Tribolium castaneum: one gene and its partners. The protein of the gene in region 3 purifies or fractionates together with the protein of the main gene of each other region. This does not show direct contact. Links are inferred from orthologs where the notes say so. Each region holds a gene or a part of one and is shown on either strand. Other genes may lie near its edges.

Region 1 (4,844 bases), on a different chromosome or scaffold from region 3:
AATGCGGTTCTAGCGTGAGTTTGAATATGTATACGGTGCACACGGACGTGCACGATCCGATAATAATTAATTCAAATTACTTGCGCCAGAATGAATCTACAACCCGCTTTTTAATTAATGCTGATTTGAAGCATCAACGCCTTTTAGAGACGAACCAGACTCCAATTATCGGCGGGTGGACTCCAGCATCCACCTCGTCAAACGCATTCCGGGATTTATTATAATTGCTGTTCTCATGCGAAACCTCCACTCACTCGTGAAATAAATAAATAAGCCTTGTTATTGACAATTGCACACTTAATTTCTTTCTATCACGGTTTCATAGCCTGTAATACTATATCTCCATATATTTCACTCAATAGGGCGGAAAGTGCCGTTTTTTCACGTAGAGAAAGGAAAAAAAAGGAATGCCTGTCTTAATTTGTAGTTGATGTGTGTTGTTGACTCATCTGAATTATTTGGTGATAGAGCGGTCAAGCGGACGAAGTTAGTCCGTCGTCGAATTTATGTAAATGTATGAAGCGCCTGTATACAAATTGTCAAATTATTCAGTTGGCAACGGTGTGCCTTCTTTGTTTGGTACAACTGTATAAAACACCCACATCTAAGGTGCGAACAAAACATAGGTGATTCGAACGCGTTCGGTGTGGTGTGCGTGTTTTATGCAAGCCGGATTACATTCGTCCTGTGAAAGAGCGTCGTCCTGGCATAGGTTGTCTCTGTGGTTGCGTCCACTTGTGTTTATTTGGTTGGATGTAGAACGACACACCTGATAATGCAGTCTGGATTAAACTTTTATTCGGCCGTAAAAACTTGTTGGCGTTTATATTGGCCGTATATTTTTGAAATCCTCCATCGACTCACCTTGGTCGAAGATCGAGGCTTTCTGAATAAATGTTTACGTAACGAAAAATACGGTTTTATTACTTATATAAATAGCTTCCTCTCGGTTTGTGCATCCGTCAAGAAGATTAAATAGATTTATTCAATGAGCGGGGACCAAGATGACATCACTGATGCTCAATGCGCTGATAATGGCAATGACTTGGAACAAATTTCTTATCAACATCCTGGGACTATTAATATATCATTTCCGTCCGGAAAATAGCAAAGCCACAGCAGTCAAGATATATTTGTTAAAAATATGCTTTCAATTAAATTTTGGATACGATTTGAAGTTAAGCTGGTATACAGGTGACTCACAAGTACCGTACAATCTCTCGGGTGCTGATAAAAGACATCAAACTAACTGAATAAAAAGTTCCTGTGACAAAAAATTGTTTCACGAGATGTAGGCCTTCAAAGTCAAATTTTTAAATTAATTTTTTGATATTTTAGATCATATTTTTTTGACTTAAGTTAGCTCTTGCAACATTAAACAAATAACTGTTGAAAAAAATTAACAATTAATATCTAATGATGTGCAATACATTAAAATAAATTAAATAAATTATAAATAAATTAAACATAAATAAAATATAAATATAAATAACTATAAAAATATATAAAAACTTGCTTAAAAAATCTGGCTTCATTTTTGTGCTTAACTGAACGTCTTTTATCACTATACGAGAGATTGTCCCACATCCCACACTTTTGAATCACCCGGTACCACAGCAAAGAATTAGTCATTTTGTTACTACCTTCATTTTAGAATATCATTTGAAATAAATAAAAATTTTCTCGTCTTTTGATGAAATTTGTATAATGTAATCAATCTAGAAGTTTGGTACTGTACACGTACTATACGATAACACTTTCTTTTTTATATGTCAGATATTCAATCTCTTGTCATAAACAGTTAAGTTATGCAACACATGATATATCTAGTCTAATTATTTAGATAAAACATGAAAGTTTAGCTTAATATTGTGACGTGGTCGTAACAATAATTTTATCATAAAATTATATTTACTAGAAACGTCGTAACTGCTTTTTGATGTTAAAATTGAATCCTACTAACAAAATTAGGGCCAAAAGGCTTCAGTATTTCATATAAAAAATATTGTGAAGAATCTTAGAAATTATGATAAAAATGCAATCGTGCATCCAATAAATCGCGATTTTTACAATCAGAGAATTAGGGCCATCTCCAGCAGACCATTGTTGCTTTCTCTTTATTCACACAGAAACCAGAAGCGTTTTATAGTCTGGGAATTTTTTTGTTATATTCTCGTTGGAAAAGGATGGTCGAAAGTAATGGCGAATAAATATGAATATTGGTAGTAAAAAACAGCATTTGGTGAAGATTTGACTTGGTTGACGTTTGTTTTAGTAAAAGGTTTATTGGAGGATTTTTTTCTTACATAAGTAGGTAATTTTTTCTGTACCTACCTAAACACATCGCACGGCATAATTTACCGAAACTTTTTTTCTAAGGGAATTAAAATTTAATCCAGGATTTTGCATTGAAGAATCTTTATCAAAATATAACTGCAATAAATGTTCAAATCGAGTTCAAATGTTAGAGATTAAAAAAAGAAGTTAAAAATTTTGACTTTAAAAAACGGACTATAACATTAAAATAATCAACTTCGTTAATTTCTTTTCTTTATTAATAACTGTGATAATAATGATTTGGTTTAATAGCTGGCATTTGAATTAAAAAACTAACCATTCATCTTAAATTATGAATGAATCTCAAAATTTAAGCCCATTGGTTTCTCACTTAATTTTAATAGCCGACCTTAAACGGACCAATCAAATCCACAAATATAATCATTAATGAATCAAAAACTCAAATGTGATTGGTCTTCTCCGTCATTTTAATGGCTGGTCTCAAACCCACCAATCAAAATGCTCGCAAATTTTTTTAGATGAAAAGCGACAAAATTGTCTCACTGAGACGAAATCAATAGGAAAGATAGAATTGAAACTTTTATTTTAGTCAAAATCCATTAATTGGCAAATTCTGGAAATTTCCATTAGATGATTGCCACTGCGCATGCGCGCGCGCTTCTTAAATTTGACAAGTGACATTTCGAAAATGCTTTAAAAAATCCAACAAAAACGCCGAAAAATCTGTGAAAAACCGTTCCGGCTAATTCAAAAGTGCAAAACAAAGACATTTGGCACGTAAATATTGTGTAATTGCGAACGGCATTGGTGTATTTTGCGCGTGGGGCTCTTGCCCCAAAAAAATCATTATTCAAAATGCTCAAAATTCACAGTAAAAACGCAGTCATTATAAGTAAAACTCGTATTTTTGTTAGAATTGATTGTTTGACAAGTTCTTTATTTTGTTGTAGGGTGAGCGGAAGTCCTGGAAGTGGTCTCCAGCTCCTGGGACGGGAACTACATCCCGCTTATCGTCTTCCACCCCACATGGAGTACCTCTATTCACTGCAGCATTCCACTGCCAATTCGATACACGGTAAGCCGGAAGTAGCTGAATAGGTGTGAACCCTGAGCTAGTATCACGTCCGATATCAGTCCTCCTGATTGACGCTAAAAGAAACGTTACGTTCCGTTTTATGCAGCATTTAGTTTGTCAGTAAAATTTTAATACTCCTTGGAATGGGAGCTGGACGTTGATGTTCTTCCCGAGTTCGTCAGTCGAATAAGTGTATCGATAAAATCCGGGTGCCATAAATGTCCACGTGTCATTTTTACAGTCATCTCGTTCGATATTTTAATATCTAATAAAATAAAGCCAGCATTCTCCCAGCTTGATTCCATACATGGCTCAGTGTAATAAAGTAAGGATTTTATGGTTTCAACTTAGTTAATATCGACCTCTATTAAAAATTATGATAATTTATATATTAATAATACCGTAATCCAACGTTAAATGCGGTTGTTTTTCCCTAAGTAACCGGATTAAGTTAAGTAACTCCGCGACCCGATCCAGTTACACAACACTAAACCCTTGTGTTTTGAAAATTCAATCAGCTTGATAAAAAACCGGATGCAAGGGTGAGTCTCAAGCCCGCATCGTCATCCACGTTTTTGTTTCAAACAATTAGCGCTCACGACACACAATTTTCGTAATTTTTTACGTGTGCGAGCTTAATGATTTATTTTTGCAGAAGACGCGTGTTTGTTTATTCAGGAATATTGGAAACGGTCTGGTTTATTTATACATAGGTTTTGTTTGTTTTCTCGAGCTCCTTATAAATGCGCGTTGACACAAATGTTTGTTGCAAGTTACTGGAGATTTATTTGTGCAGCATCTGTGGCAGGTTTACTAGCGCGGAATTTGACACAAAGTAGCTTCACTTTTACTCATCTTAATTTCTCGAACTTGACTTCCCTTGACTCGGTTTTTCATTGAAAGAAGTAACGCAATGTCTGCTTCGCCAAAGGCAAATGCCACGTTCAGTTTAAATAGGTTTATGCTACTGCAAAAAATTTTGTTGCATAATTTAGGACGTAATAAATTGTAGACAATAAATTATTATATTCTATAAAGCCGTGACCGTTAAAATAGCACAGTTACGGCAACGGATTTATGTCTCTAATATCATTGATCAAGAGTTGATTGTTATACAGGATTTCTGGCGAATAATGGCAAGCGTGTTATGCTACTTTTATTATTAAAATATTTGTGGTACCTCCTAGCTGAGGAGAATTTTTAAAAACGGAACACTATTAAAAAAAAAAGGATCAACTTTCTTGCTAAATTGTAATAGATCTTTATGCCTTTTTTGGTAAATTGAAACAATTGAGAATCATTTACTATTTTTCTGTGGTCAATTTAAAATCTCTCTAGAATAAAGTAGACATTTCGTACTTTAGATTACATCATAATAAATACCTCAATTTATGTTGTTTTATTGCTGTATTTTTTGTTTCGTTTGGAAAAACTGCAGGGAAATATTGTTTCAAATCAAATTTTGCAAAGA
Region 2 (4,315 bases), on a different chromosome or scaffold from region 3:
TGAAACTGATCGAACGCGAGCGCAACGGCGAAACAATCAACACTCGTTTAGTCTCTGGCGTGATAAACTGTTACGTGGAATTGGGCCTAAACGAGGAGGAACCAGGGGCCAAAGGACCGAACCTATCGGTGTACAAAGAGAGTTTCGAAAACATGTTTCTGGAAGACACTGAACGCTTCTACCTAAAAGAGAGTAACAACTTCCTAGCACAAAATCCGGTCACTGAATACATGAAAAAGGCCGAACAACGTCTCCTCGAAGAACAGAAACGCGTCCAAGTCTATCTACACGAAACAACAAGCGGCCGTTTAGCCAAAACCTGCGAAAGAGTCCTCATTAAAAAGCACCTCGACATGTTCCATTCGGAGTTCCAGCAGTTGTTGGACGCCGACAAAGACGAGGATTTGGGTCGGATGTACTCGTTGGTAGCGCGGATTCCGGACGGTTTAGGGGAATTACGGACGCTTCTCGAGCAACATATCGCAGCTCAGGGGCTCTCAGCGATTGAAAAATGCGGAGAAAGCGCCCATAATGTAACTAACTGTTACTACAACTCCCAGTTTTTAATAACCTGTATTTAGGACCCGAAAATTTACGTCAACACGATTCTGGAGGTGCACAAGAAGTACAACGCTCTTGTTTTGGTGGCGTTCAACAACGATAGCGGTTTTGTGGCGGCTTTGGACAAGGCATGTGGTCGTTTCATCAACGCCAATGCCGTTACCAAAAAAGCCAATTCGAGCAGCAAATCGCCGGAATTGCTCGCGAAATACTGTGATTTGCTGCTGAAGAAGTCGAGCAAGAATCCGGAGGAGGCGGAGCTCGAAGATACGTTAAACCAAGTCGTATGTAACGAGGTTTTGTTTTGGGTGGGGTTTTGATTGTGTTTTCAGATGGTTGTGTTCAAATATATCGAAGATAAGGACGTTTTTCAAAAGTTCTACAGTAAAATGCTGGCCAAGCGATTGGTCCAGCACATGTCGGCGAGTGACGATGCTGAAGCTTCAATGATCTCAAAACTGAAACAGGCATGCGGGTTTGAGTACACCTCCAAGTTGCAAAGGATGTTCCAGGCAAGTTGGTACAATTGGTTTTTAATTGGTCATTGATGACCCCGAGAATGAATGATTTTCTATTAATAAACAATTTGCGTTAATACGAGACATTTATAAACGATTTTCTGCACATTTATCATATCGATAAACAAACAATCAACGGAAATGCGAATTTAAACATAATTTTTTGCAAAGTGACTTTGGTTATACGCATTTCTTCCGTTTTTCATGACTGACTTCAAGGCCTGCTCTCCTTTTGGAGATTTCAGTGGTAACTTTGAACTGAAGGCGACTTTCTTTTTGTCTTGCTAAATTTCCAAGTTTTTGGCTAAAAATTTAATTTTTTCAACTTTTTATTTGACAATTTCCAAAAAATACAAATTGAACTTTAAATTTTTTTCTTGTTTTTTGTACGTTTTTCACTCAGAAATGCTTCTTTTTGCGAAAGTCCTCCGGAATAAGCCGAAAATTCATTAAAATAAGTCGGGAGATCTCAAATGATTATTATGAAATAATTTTGAAATTTCAAATGCTAAAAAATATTAAAAGTCACTACTTTAATGACGGTTTATGTTGCCATTTTTGGGCCATTTTATCGTTAATTCTTTCGAAAAACAGCCTTGAAAGCGTTGATTTTGGCGTAATCTGTATTTTTTTAGGACATTGGCGTGTCTAAAGATCTGAACGAGCAATTCAAAAGTCATCTATTAAAATCAAACGAAACCCTAGACATAGATTTTAGTATTCAAGTGTTATCTTCCGGATCATGGCCTTTCCAGCAATCTTTCACCTTCGGATTGCCGACCGAGGTGCGTTTTTTGCTTGTTGTAGGGTTGGGAGATAAATTGTACGTTTGCAGCTTGAAAGAAGTGTTCATAGATTTACAAATTTCTATTCCGGTCAGCATTCGGGCCGGAAATTAAATTGGCTGTATAACATGTCGAAAGGAGAGTTACACACGAACTGTTTTAAAAATAGATACACACTCCAAGCTAGTACGTTTCAAATGGCTGTGCTGCTCCAGTTCAACGTGTCTGAAAGTTGGACAATAGCTCAACTCGAGGAGAATACACAAATCAAAACAGATTTCCTAATACAGGTCATACAGATATTACTTAAAGCGAAGCTGATCACTTGCGATGATGACGAGAACGAGCTCGCGCCACACTCGGTTGTGAACCTTTTCCTAGGATATAAAAAGTGAGTTTACGCGCCAGGGGTGTCCCCCGATTTGAGTTTTTCTTCCAGTAAAAAACTTCGGGTCAATATCAATATTCCGATGAAGACCGAGCTAAAGATGGAGCAAGAAACAACTCACAAGCATATTGAAGAGGACAGGAAGTTGCTGATTCAAGCCGCGATTGTACGAATCATGAAAATGAGGAAAATACTGAAACATCAACAGTTGGTGGCTGAAGTTTTGAACCAGTTGTCGTCAAGGTTCAAGCCGAGGGTTCACATCATCAAGGTGATGATATTTCTCGTATTAGTTGTGTGTTTGATTTGTGTTTTGTTGCAGAAATGCATAGATATTCTGATCGAGAAGGAGTATCTGGAGAGGACTGAGGGTCAGAAGGACACCTACAGCTACTTGGCATGATTCAGCAAACGCAACTGTCACCCAACTGTCTTTGATTAACAACCGGCGGAGTCAACGAGTGGCTTGTATATTGTAAATATTCGAAAAATAAATTGTACTTTAAGTGATATGCTATACTAAAAAATACACAACTGTATTTATGTTTTGATTGAATTGTCCTAGAACTGTCAATCTGAGTTCTGGCGCTCTCTTGATATTCCTTTGAATTTTTGTTTTAATTCTGCTTTTACTTTATTAATTGTATAGAATCTGTTTATTTGTATTACTATGTGAAAAGAATACGAATGTAATTTAATTCACCGATTTTAAATAAATTGTTTTGACAAATTGCTGTTTGAGTTAACGCCACTTTAACACACATTGGAATACGATTATCAAAAAAACATAAATAAAACTATGAATAATTTATTTATTATTTTATTCTATATTAAATTGATGATACACCTTTGTTAATAGGAAAATGAAAAAATGAGAAAAATATCACAGTTGGCTGAATAATTTGACTTCGCGCCACCTTTCGGTGTGCTAGTGCAACATGCAATGACAAGTTCACAAAGGTTTCTTGAACTCGATTTTACAAAATATTGACACAGATTAGAGGTTATCTTGCTTTAATCTGTGACCATCGATAAAGACAAACCAACCCTTGAAACAACCACAACCACCATGACTCTAAACCTAACCAAGGAAAACCGCATTTACAAGAAACTTTTCACTTTGAAACCCTCCCAAAGAGACGGGTATTGGGCCCTTGCCCCTTGGACCAATTAATTGCCCTGTTTTCAGCTTAGTGCTAAACATCCACCACACCGACAGAAACGCGCAGAAGATCCGCTTTCTCAGTTGCTGTTTCAGCAAAAATGGTCAAACACTGGCCTTGGCCGACTACGAGGGCAACATCTTTGTGATCGACTTCACGAGCACCAAATTCTGGAACATCCCAAAATTCACAAACACTTGCGTTATGGTCAAGTTTTCGCACTTCAAAGAGGGCGAAATTTTAGTGGGGGCACATTGTGGCGCTGTGTACGTGGTTGAGGCCCAAACTGGCTTCGTCTGCGGCCAGTTGAGGGGCCACCAGAGCCCTGTTAATTGCATGACGTTTGGTAGTAACTTTTTGTGCCTCACGGGGTCCACAAGTGAGGCGATTTTGTGGGACTTGAACACCAACAGCAAGCTGCAGGTGCTCAGTTTGCAGCACAGTTGCGCCCTGAAATATGTACGTCTTTGCGATCGTTAGAATTAATTTGATTTCGAAAATTCCAGGTGTGCTTCATTCCCGTTTCCTCCTATATTTTGACATGTTTCAACGACGACGTGATCCAGATCTGGCAGTTTGGCACGTTTGAGATGAAGACTGAAATACCACCTCTGGTGTGGTTCAACCACGAAGTGAAAAACATCACGTTCACACAGTATGACGATGGTTTTTGTCAATTGTTTTTTTATGTTTTTTTCAAGGGACGGCAAAGTGATGGTGATTGGTTGCCGCTCACCACACCTCGCCCTCTTCCTACTCTCGAACTTCAAACTATTTAAATTTATAACATTGCCAGAACACATCCAGTCACTGAAACACATTGATTTCATCCCCCAGCCAAACGACGCCGGCTCGAATAAAATTTTAGCCATTTTATCAGGCCGTGGCACTGTTTATTTC
Region 3 (5,644 bases):
ATGGTTCTCACAATATTAAAGACACTTACAACACACTACTAAAAATTATAGATGCATAATGTAATATGTGCTCCCCAATTCGCAACAAGCAATTTACCTTGTTGGCGTTATTTGCCCAGGACTTAATTAAATGAGAATATGCTTGCGATATAATTGAAAATAAATTGTTTTTGGATCAGGCTTAGTGCATGCAAAGTTGATGAGGCATGTGTAGGTGGAAATGCTATTTACGTAGTTGTTGTTTCATTTTATCCTGTATTAAACGAATAAATTGGACGTTGTAAAGACGAAGCCGTCCGATTGTTAATGTCATAATTCACTGAAATGAATAATTGGATTAGAAATTTATAATGGCGCACGTATATGTTTAATTAGCTAATAACTAGTTTCAAACTACCTGCTCGAATGTTAATATTTGTAGTAATTTGGTTGAAGGATTACACATTGTTTGTTAATTGGGATGGAGTAATAACTTTGTATTAGTGCTGAGTGCATAACTTTGTCATTGACAAATACATAGTAAAATCGTAGTGTTGCTCAACTCCAGACAGTCTTTGAAAGGATTGTAACAAAGGTTTGGCCGTGAAGACTGCGATTTTTTCTAAACAAATATTTTGAATACATTTTAAGCGAAGGTTATTTTACTGCAATTTTTTGGAAGAATTTTTGTACCAGGAAATCATCGAATTTATCTCGTGAAAGAGCGAAAAAGTAAGTTCACTTTACAACGAAACAATTTTGAACTATGGAATTTGGTTGGTAAAGCGAAAAATTGAAATTTCTTGCACTCTGTCTTTGAGTGCAGCTCGTAAAAAATTCATTTCAAACCGTCCAGTGAATTGAATCGTAACTAATCGATTTTGCCATAAATAATCCTTGAACAAGATGTAAGAAAATACGCGGTTCATGACAACGCAATCTATTCCGGTGATGGTAAATTAAATGTAAATTAATTATTGTTGTCACAAGCAAAATTTTTCAAAATCACGTTTTCTAGACAGCTCGTTTAATTAATTGACGTCATTAGGCGCCGCAATTAAAGAGGGAAAACGTTGCGGTTTCTCCATTTCATAAAATTCGGCTTTTACGCTCGATTAATTAGAGGTTTTGTGTCGATATTAGATCGCGATTAGACAACAGAAAAAACAATTTCATGGAACCGTCCTCGGAAACTCGTCTTGTCTCCTAGCAGTCATTCTAGTTCAAGTGTACCGTGTATGTTAATTTTGTCCTGAATGTCGAGCGTGCTTTATTTATGAGATTATTCTTATGTTGAGGAAAAAGAGAGTCACCAGATGAACATTTTTCCCGCCTTTAGTACATCTAAGCTCGCCTCGGATATCAGAAGTAAATCAGCGATTTGTGCGTGCACAAGGCGTTCAACTTTCTACAATTTACATTTAATTATTGTCTTATCATTTTTTCGTCGACAGTTATCTTTTATGTTTATGTTCAGTTTTATTTGTTCTCAGACGGGTTCATTAGGTGCATAAAAATAGCGACAAACGGTATTTGTAATTTCCTTTATCTAATATGTTGATTACTGAGGTTTAGCTAAATTTAGCTCGTATCTCGCTTATTTCGGAACATAACGGTAATTTTGTTTGCAGATGTCTGTTCCATCGTAATCGTTTGTGTTTCCTTTACAGCAGTATCCAATGACAATATTATCACCGTACGATACGGCCAGGAAGAAAGAGCCTTCGGCTACTTTTAACGCGGAGAGAGAAACATGTCTGAAATGCTTCGAAAAATGGAGCGAAACCGACCAAGTCGAATTCGTAGAAAATTTACTAGCTAGGATGTGTCACTACCAACACGGGCACATCAATTCCTATTTGAAACCCATGCTGCAGCGAGATTTCATATCTCTTTTACCAAGTAAGTCCCGAAACGTTAGTCCCAGCGGATTTTTTGAGTTGTCTTTCAGAGCAAGGATTGGACCACGTCGCTGAGAATATATTGTCATATTTGGAGGCGGACAGTTTACGGAACGCCGAGTTGGTCTGCAAAGAATGGTTTAGGGTAATCTCAGAGGGTATGCTTTGGAAGAAGCTAATCGAGCGGAAAGTTCGGACGGATTCACTGTGGAGAGGTTTAGCCGAACGCAGACAATGGTACTGAATTAAACCCGAGTTAGTGGGTGTTTAACTTGGCAAATTTCAGGATACAATATTTATTCAAACCACGACCTGGCGAGAACCATCGTCCCCATTCGTTCTATCGAGCCCTTTTCCCGAAAATCATCCGCGATATCGAAAGCATAGAAAGTAATTGGCGGAACGGTCGGCACATCTTGCAGCGAATCAACTGCCGGTCCGAAAATAGCAAAGGGGTTTACTGTTTGCAGTACGACGATCAGAAAATCGTGTCGGGTCTCAGGGACAATACTATTAAAATATGGGACAGAAGTACATTGCAGTGCACTAAAGTTCTTATAGGACATACGGGATCGGTTTTGTGTTTACAATACGACGATAAAGTTATTATTAGTGGTTCTAGTGATTCAACTGTGCGCGTCTGGAACGTTAACACGGGAGAAATGGTCAATACGCTCATACATCATTGCGAAGCCGTCCTTCATCTTAGATTCAATAACGGAATGATGGTCACCTGTTCAAAAGTAAGTCGAAAACCGTATTGGAACTTCATTAGCGAACCAAGTGAAAACCGCCCGCAATTAAACCACCGTTAGAAACTCGGTCTTGGATTTTTTCTTGAAATATGTGTCAGACTCGTCAGCAGATCGCGATCGTAAATTCCCACTGTTTGAACTCGAATACAATTCGGATTAAAAACGGACAAATATTCCCCGTTATCGTTACTTCCACCATTAAAACAATAAATCATGGATTATATCTGGATATTGCAACTACAAAGGAATATTTATATGATAATGAAACGCAAAGTTATTTCGGGGTCACATCCGAGAATGAGACATTAACATAAAAACTCCACAATTGAAAAAAGAAAGCACTCTAATTTTGTCCAAGAATTTATTTTATGGTGCACTAGCTCTAATTGGACACTTAATTACAAATTTCACACTTCCTGTTTGGGTTTTATTTTTAACAAAAACGAAAGTAAATGCATCGCATGAAATTCGTTTTTATAAATTACGAAACGGTACGTGATTGCCAATTAATTTTCGTTCGAAAATTAATTCAAGTTCCTTCCCCAATAAAACCTTGGGCTATTATTAGTTACTTTTTACTAATAATAGCAATGGATTTATTATTGGCATAAGCTAAAGCTTGGCCAATTGTACTGAAAACGGACAAAGCTTGTGGGTGGAACAAATCCGATCCTAAAAAAGGGGCGCGCTTTAAAAGGTCAAAGTTATTCATTAAAGTAGCGCTCGTATTGGCGTTTAATTAAAAAAAAGGCATTGCACAAATGATTCTTACAAAAAAATGAGCTATAAAATGTAAATTTGGTTTAACCTAATTATTTTTGAAAAGGTAACGTGTGAGAATGGGTTTTTAACGCCGTTTTGCGAATTAATGTTTGTTTTTTTCAGGATCGCTCGATAGCTGTGTGGGACATGACATCGCCGAACGAGATCACCCTGCGGCGGGTGCTGGTGGGGCACAGGGCCGCCGTGAACGTGGTCGATTTCGACGAGAAATACATAGTTTCGGCGTCGGGTGACCGAACGATAAAAGTGTGGAACACCTCAACTTGTGAGTTTATGCGAACGTTAAACGGACATAAACGGGGGATCGCCTGTTTGCAATACCGAGATAGGTTGGTCGTAAGCGGAAGTTCGGACAATACCATAAGGTAAACATTGCGGTTAAATGCGCGATAAAGAAACCACAGAACACGATCGATTTCCAGGTTGTGGGATATCGAAGGTGGCGCTTGTCTGCGGGTGCTTGAAGGGCACGAAGAGTTAGTGCGTTGTATCCGTTTCGATTCGAAACGGATTGTCAGCGGGGCTTATGATGGGAAAATTAAAGTTTGGGATCTCGTTGCCGCGCTTGATCCCAGAACGCCGGCCAGTGCTTTATGTCTTCGAACATTGGTAGTAAGTTAATAGTACAGTCATTAAATTCATCTAATATCATAACGCAGCGCTTGACATTTCATTTAATAGAGTTAATAAAGGGCTAATTTTTAACTGAGCGATTGCAGGTAAAGTTGTTATGCTTGCTTGTCCTTTAATGGGCCCACTTAGTGTTTTTTATTTCAAGTTACGAAATAATGTTACGGGTTAATATGTACTTCACTTCACTGTTCGCTGATAAGTGATAATTGTTGAGAAATAGTATCATTGCTGGGATAAGTGACCATTTTCTCGATGAAAAACGCATCAGTATCATAAATATTTTGTAACATGAGCAGAAAATGGATGGCACTTTAATTATAATTAGAGATAGAATCGAAAGAACAATTTTTTGTTTTGGCCATTTGTACACGAAATCTTTCTTTTTCCATAATAGTCGCGATTTGGCAGGTATTTTGCACTTGAAGTTAAATGCTTGTTGCGTTAGTTTAAGGAACCGTGCTAAATGAGCCTATTAGGTGTTCATACCATTGATGTCTTAAATGATTTTTTGACTGATTGCATTCATAAAGTTTCGGTGGGTGTGAGACCCATTCCCGGGTGTCTAAACGTTGGTGTTTCTTGTTTTCAGGAACACACAGGTAGAGTATTCAGGTTGCAGTTTGACGAGTTTCAAATAGTGAGCAGTTCGCACGATGATACAATTCTTATTTGGAATTTCCTCAACTCAATTGGAGAGAGAAACACGAAATCGCCTTCGCCCTCTCGTACGTTGGTTGTGTGTTATTGTTGATTTTTTAACGTTTCCAATTTCAGCGTTTGAGTAAATTGTCCAGAAGCCAATTTGTCATCATGTGTGTGTGAGTGTGGAAGAGACAATTTTGGAGCAAGTGCTCGCATAAACTGACTAGGAATATAAAATTTAGAAAATTATTTGTAATAATTGTGTATAATGTTATATTTAAATTGGATATATTTATGTCTTAATTTATAATATGAAGCGTATTTGACATAATTGGAGTTCGTTTTTTACGTGTTTCGTCTTTATGAAAAATTTTTGCTGTTGTGTTTCCTAGACCGAATTAAGATGTCGACACAAAACCTCTGTTGATCTGTTGTAACCTAAATGAGTTTAACTACGAATTATGTGATAGTACGTTTAAAACATCTAAAGTGCGGTTTTCATCGTGTGCGCCATTAATCTTGTTGACGTTTTACATTTGTTTTATTTCGTTATCGTTGAATTTGCAAAAATGAACAACTAATTTTAGCTCTCTAGTCTATGAAATTTCAATGATAGGCTACACACGTTATTTTAGGAATCAAGTTGTTTTAAAATTCTCACACTATAGTGCGGTTTCTACAGTTTGTTGGGCTTTCTAGTCTGTAATCATTCTTTGCAAACTTAGAAAGTGAGTTTAGTCGGCAAAAATTGTATAGTAAGTTTTAAATTTATAGGATTTTGGGGTGAATTCAGTGATGATTAATTTTAGTTTAGGATTATTTTACATCATTTTCATCAAGTTGGAAATTGTGATCTATTATTTAGGGTTCTCCATATTTATTATGGGAAAATGATTGCAACCAAAAGTACTTTTTGTTTTGTTTGGTGCATTAATTTAATGAGGCTGCAAG
Region 4 (4,844 bases), on a different chromosome or scaffold from region 3:
TGGATTTGCACCTGTCACCTAAAAAATCGGTAACTCTTTTAGTTTTAGAGGTTTCGAAATCATTTTTGGAGAATTAAAAGAGAAAGCCTATATCTGTTCTCCAGTGTGTTCAAAATTAGAAAAGAAGTTAATAAACCCAAAAATTTTAGGGTTAAGTTTGGGCAACTTCAAGTACCCAAAATTTATTTTTTTAAATGGGACGTCCCAATTTTTATTTTACTAGATGGTGGAGAATTTTTTTCTGCATCGATCTGTATTAGCATTCCCTATACCTATCTATGATCATTTTCAAGTTATTTTGGTTTTTTTGACATTGTAGAAAATTTCTTACTAACCACAGATATTTTTGCACAGTTTGGTCTTTTTTTAGAAAAACATGTTCCTATCTATTAATAATAATTAGGAGTGACAAAATTATCTAATATATATTTGATGTTATTTCACTACACGTATAATAATGCCAATAAATGGCACTAAAACAAAAATGCTATTCTCAACGATTTACGTTTATATTTTTCCCGAAATTTAATTAAAAAATGAAAATTTGGGCTAGAATTTCGCTGTAGACGAGTCGGAATTGATTTTGCCGTTCATTTATTTTTTTAAGTTTTAAAAATTTCAAATAGATGCGATTACAGGATTAAATAATAAATCGATTCCTGTTATTGGCGTGACTTTTAACTCATTTCCATGCCAGTCTTGACCTTCAATCTTTCGTAAAGCTGTCTAAAAGGCTTCAAAATCGGGCCTTTGTCCAACTTGTAAAGCGTCAATTTTCGTCTTGTCTGTCACAAATATGTAAAAAACTCAATTCTTTCTGGTGTCTAATCACAAATCACAACTCTCATACATGACGTACATGTGTTTTTTTCGCCATTTCTCAAGAAACATGCAAGATATTTCCTGTGTACGCAGTAAATCAGATAAGAAGTGTTACCTAGAATCGGCATCCAATGAAACCCACCTAATCATCGTCTAAAAGCGAACGCAAAACGCGAGACAATGGCCGATTAATATGAAAATTTGGCAATGACCTCTGTATCTGTCTGGAATTTGTTCCTGGAACGTGTGTTAATTGTTGGCGCGAGATGTCCGATCGCAGGCTAATGATAGGGTCGTGTGTGCAGGTGAGCGGGCAACCCCCTTGAAGAGATGAGCGGGTCATGCGCGCCGGCCTGTGCACGGTAAGCGCCCCTCTGGCCGCGTGCAGCCCGGCAGCAGCGCTACCCCCGTCGGCTCGCTTCTTGGCCCTGCATTTGCTGCACCAACAAACCCTCTACTTCATCGTACAGGCCAAATCCAGGGTCAGGGAACTGTACCAGCAGACATGCCTACACTTCGCCCAACAGGGGATGCTCGACACCGACTTGTTCGGGCTGGCCCTCATCTGCGGTAAGCAAACTTTTTTATCTAAATAGGGGCGTTTATCTCGTCCAATATCTTCAAAACTACCATTCACAGATCAAAAAGGGAGACAGATTTGGAATCCTCAGACGATTCTGTGTCAAATGGTGGTACTTTTGACATCAATTTTCGGTTATTTTGACCTTACTGAATTTTTTGTTAGTAGAAAGTAAATAAAAATTTTGAACAGGTTGTTTTATTTATTCGTTACACAGTTTTGACTCGATTTCTACAAAATTTTGCTCAGAAATAGATAATCAACTAGTAAAAAAAGTGCTACAAGTCGTTTTAGACAGATCAATTTAAATTTTTAATTTAATTTAATTTTTGGCAGAATGGAAAAATTTTCCTCGATCGTATTTCGTCTAATATCTCTAAAATCGTGTAAGGGAAATGAGGATATATTTGGAATTCTCAGATAAGTTTACGTCGAAAAAGCATACTTTTGACCAAAATTTTTGGTTATTTGATGATTTTTCATTAGCAGATAAGTAAATAAAAATTTTGACTTCTTGTTTTATTCGGATTATTTGCACAGTTTTGACTAGATTACCACAAAATTGTGCTCAGATTTTTGATAACGAAGTAGCTGAAAGTGTTACAAGTCGTTCTGGATTAATTTTTATTTTTTTCTTCTTTTAATTTTTGATAAAATGAAAAAATTGAAATCGATCGTATTTCGTCTAATATTTCCAAAACTTTGAATTTTATAACAAAAATGAGAACAGATTTGGAATCCTCAGACAATTCTGTGTCAAATGGTGATACTTTTGACATCAATTTTCGGTTATTTTGACCTTACTGAATTTTTTGTTAGTAGAAAGTAAATAAAAATTTTGAACAGGTTGTTTTATTTATTCGTTACACAATTTTGACTCGATTTCTACAAAATTTTGCTCAGAAATAGATAATCAACTAGTAAAAAAAGTGCTACAAGTCGTTTTAGACAGGTCAATTTAAATTTTTAATTTAATTTAATTTTTGGTAGAATGGAAAAATTTTCCTCGATCGTATTTCGTCTAATATCTCTAAAATCGTGTAAGGGAAATGAGGATATATTTGGAATCCTCAGATGTTTACGTCGAATAGGCATACTTTTGACCTAAATTTTTGGTTATTTGATGTTTTTTCATTAGCAGATAAGTAAATAAAAATTTTGACTTCTTGTTTTATTCGGCTTATTTGCACAGTTTTGACTAGATTACCACAAAATTGTGCTCAGATTTTTGATAACGAACTAGCTGAAAGTGTTACAAGTCGTTTTGGATCAATTTTTATTTTTTTATTCTTTTAATTTTTGATAAAATGAAAAAATTGAAATCGATCGTATTTCGTCTAATATTTCCAAAACTTCGAATTTTATAACAAAAATGAGAACAGATTTGGAATCCTCAGACAATTTTACGTCAGTTGGGCATAAATGTGTATTAAATTTTTGGTTATTGTAATCTTGGTAATTTTTTATTGGCAGATAAGTAAATAAAAATTTTGACAAATTTGTTTTATTCAGTTTATTTGCACAATTTTTGCCTCGATGGCCACAATTTTTTTTTAATTAAAAGTGCTACAAGTCGTTTTAGGTCAATTTTTATTATTATTTTCATTAAATTTTTGGTAGAAGGGAAAAAATAAATCGACCGTATTACTACAAATATTTCCAAAACTACGAATTCTAGAACAAAATAAAGGCAGATTTTTGAACCCCTGGACAATTTTACGTCAAATTGGCGTACTTTTGACATCAATTTTATTTTGCTCTTGATGAATTTTTTGTTGGTAGATAAGTGAATAATTTTTTTACCAAATTGTGTTATTCAAATTATTTTTATTTTTTGTTAATTTTTGGTAGAATGTAAAAATTGACGAAAAGTCGACTGTTTTTCAATCAATATCTTCAAAACTACGAATTGTAGAACGAAAATAATAGCAAATCCCCAGACAATTTTACGTCAAATTGGCAGACTTTTGACATAAATTTTCGTTTATTGCTTATTAGGATTCTATTGAATTTTTTGTTGCTAGATGAGTAAATTACTCTTAAATATCCTTAATAGGGCAAAAAGTTTGCAATAAATGTCGAAAATAATATTACTGTGAGCTGTTTCTCTCTAGTGTTTAGCACGTTTGATAAGTGAGATACAATGTCTTTTGTAATTTTTCCTCCAATATTACTCTTGCCTTTTTGAAATGTTATGCAAACCTCATTTTCTCGCGAAATTTCGCTTAAATAACCCAAAAATTAACTTATTTTTGACTTTTCGAGCATTGTAAAAATGCCAAAATTACGCAATTTAAAGTTTTTATTTTAAGAGAAAAATCGAATCTAATTTAATACAGTAAATGCCAAATTAACTTGTTTAGAGGTATTCCAAGACCATTTGGCACGTCTTCTAGCAAAGAATCGTTGAAAAAAACTTATTTAAACTGGTGGAATACCATACAAAGTAAATGGTATTTCAGTACGATTTGAAGGAAAAATTGTTGAAAATCAATTAATGAGATGACTCAAATGCAAAATAAGGCGAACGTAGGTATTCCCAGAGAGCTTAGTACGTTTTTAAGTGCGAGAGATCGTTGAAAATAAACTTTTTTAAAGAAAACAAATGCCAAAATTAGGCGGATTAAAGTTTTTAAGTGAAGATCCGAGTAAAATCAAGTGCATTGGCAACTTATTTCACTCATTTTTGTGTTACTGGAAACTAAAAATATGGTTCAAAATAGGATATCGTGACATCACAACCGCCTTTCATCACAGAACCTAAAATCACCAAAAACTTGACAGACATTTCTTACACACCCTCCGCAAAATAAAAAATCGACCACTTTATGTTCAAAATTTTGTCTTGAACTTAAAGGAACTAAGTTCTAAACCATTTGGTCTTAAAACTGGACCAAATGCTCGCGTCATAATTCCAAGTATAAAGGTATAAAGAAAGGGTTTATTATTTACTTTTTTTATTTATTTTATTATTTTTTTAAGTGTTTTTAGCCTTATCATTAATACATAGTTGTTTTTAAGTTGCTGACATCTTTAATTAGACGAGTATAAGGTGATAATAAGGCGAATTTAGTTAATTCTAATACGAAGCCTAAAATTAGCGCAAAATTTTCGTTGCATTTTTGGAAATCTCTCAGCCCACTTACGGAAGTTTGGGCCCGTTGTTCGTATTAATTTTATCGTTTGGGATTCATCTTCTCGTGACCGGGCGTTGGTATTATAAGAAATTCATCGATTACGTCCGCACAGTAAACACTTAATAATAGTATCGGAATGCGAATGATTCGAACTTTTGGTCCGTCTTTATGTTGGCGATTATGTTCGAAAACCGCTTGCTAACAACAATTCTAAACATCGTACGTGGTTTCGATGTTAGTCATCTCTGTGTAAATCTCGTCCATCGGAGAGCCAATATTTGGAAACTGAAGAAAGGTTAGCAGGA

The links. Proteins that work in one complex are often made in the same cells at the same time.
Region 1: the proteins of slmb (region 3) and ci purify together in Drosophila melanogaster (affinity purification with western blotting; 4 studies listed by BioGRID, with this or other methods). This does not show direct contact. The link is inferred for Tribolium castaneum from reciprocal best matches to the Drosophila melanogaster genes slmb and ci.
Region 2: the proteins of slmb (region 3) and Cul1 purify together in Drosophila melanogaster (affinity purification with western blotting; 4 studies listed by BioGRID, with this or other methods). This does not show direct contact. The link is inferred for Tribolium castaneum from reciprocal best matches to the Drosophila melanogaster genes slmb and Cul1.
Region 4: the proteins of slmb (region 3) and ex purify together in Drosophila melanogaster (affinity purification with western blotting; 4 studies listed by BioGRID, with this or other methods). This does not show direct contact. The link is inferred for Tribolium castaneum from reciprocal best matches to the Drosophila melanogaster genes slmb and ex.

The regions. Positions count from the first base shown.
Region 1 is NC_087394.1:31,471,503-31,476,346, forward strand, and holds part of ci (transcriptional activator cubitus interruptus), read left to right. Parts: intron 1-3,248; coding exon 3,249-3,373; intron 3,374-4,844. UniProt on the Drosophila melanogaster protein: Has a dual function as a transcriptional activator and a repressor of the hedgehog (Hh) pathway. The full-length ci form (ciFL), acts as an activator (ciA) while ciR, its C-terminally truncated form, acts as a repressor. Involved in segment polarity.
Region 2 is NC_087396.1:22,568,935-22,573,249, reverse strand, and holds the end of Cul1 (cullin-1), read left to right. Parts: coding exon 1-533; intron 534-581; coding exon 582-845; intron 846-893; coding exon 894-1,073; intron 1,074-1,714; coding exon 1,715-1,864; intron 1,865-1,914; coding exon 1,915-2,255; intron 2,256-2,303; coding exon 2,304-2,523; intron 2,524-2,574; coding exon 2,575-2,655; 3' UTR 2,656-2,982; downstream 2,983-4,315. Other genes in the region: TBC1 domain family member 31, read left to right, coding at 3,322-3,395, 3,442-3,874, 3,922-4,070, 4,117-4,315. UniProt on the Drosophila melanogaster protein: Core component of multiple SCF (SKP1-CUL1-F-box protein) E3 ubiquitin-protein ligase complexes which mediate the ubiquitination of proteins involved in cell cycle progression, signal transduction and transcription.
Region 3 is NC_087397.1:4,519,633-4,525,276, reverse strand, and holds the end of slmb (supernumerary limbs), read left to right. Parts: intron 1-1,347; exon of another isoform or gene 1,348-1,594; intron 1,595-1,649; coding exon 1,650-1,881; intron 1,882-1,930; coding exon 1,931-2,117; intron 2,118-2,166; coding exon 2,167-2,623; intron 2,624-3,520; coding exon 3,521-3,783; intron 3,784-3,840; coding exon 3,841-4,030; intron 4,031-4,640; coding exon 4,641-4,776; intron 4,777-4,825; coding exon 4,826-4,836; 3' UTR 4,837-5,215; downstream 5,216-5,644.
Region 4 is NC_087395.1:21,737,949-21,742,792, forward strand, and holds part of ex (protein expanded), read left to right. Parts: intron 1-1,127; 5' UTR 1,128-1,163; coding exon 1,164-1,392; intron 1,393-4,844. UniProt on the Drosophila melanogaster protein: Activates the Hippo/SWH (Sav/Wts/Hpo) signaling pathway, a signaling pathway that plays a pivotal role in organ size control and tumor suppression by restricting proliferation and promoting apoptosis.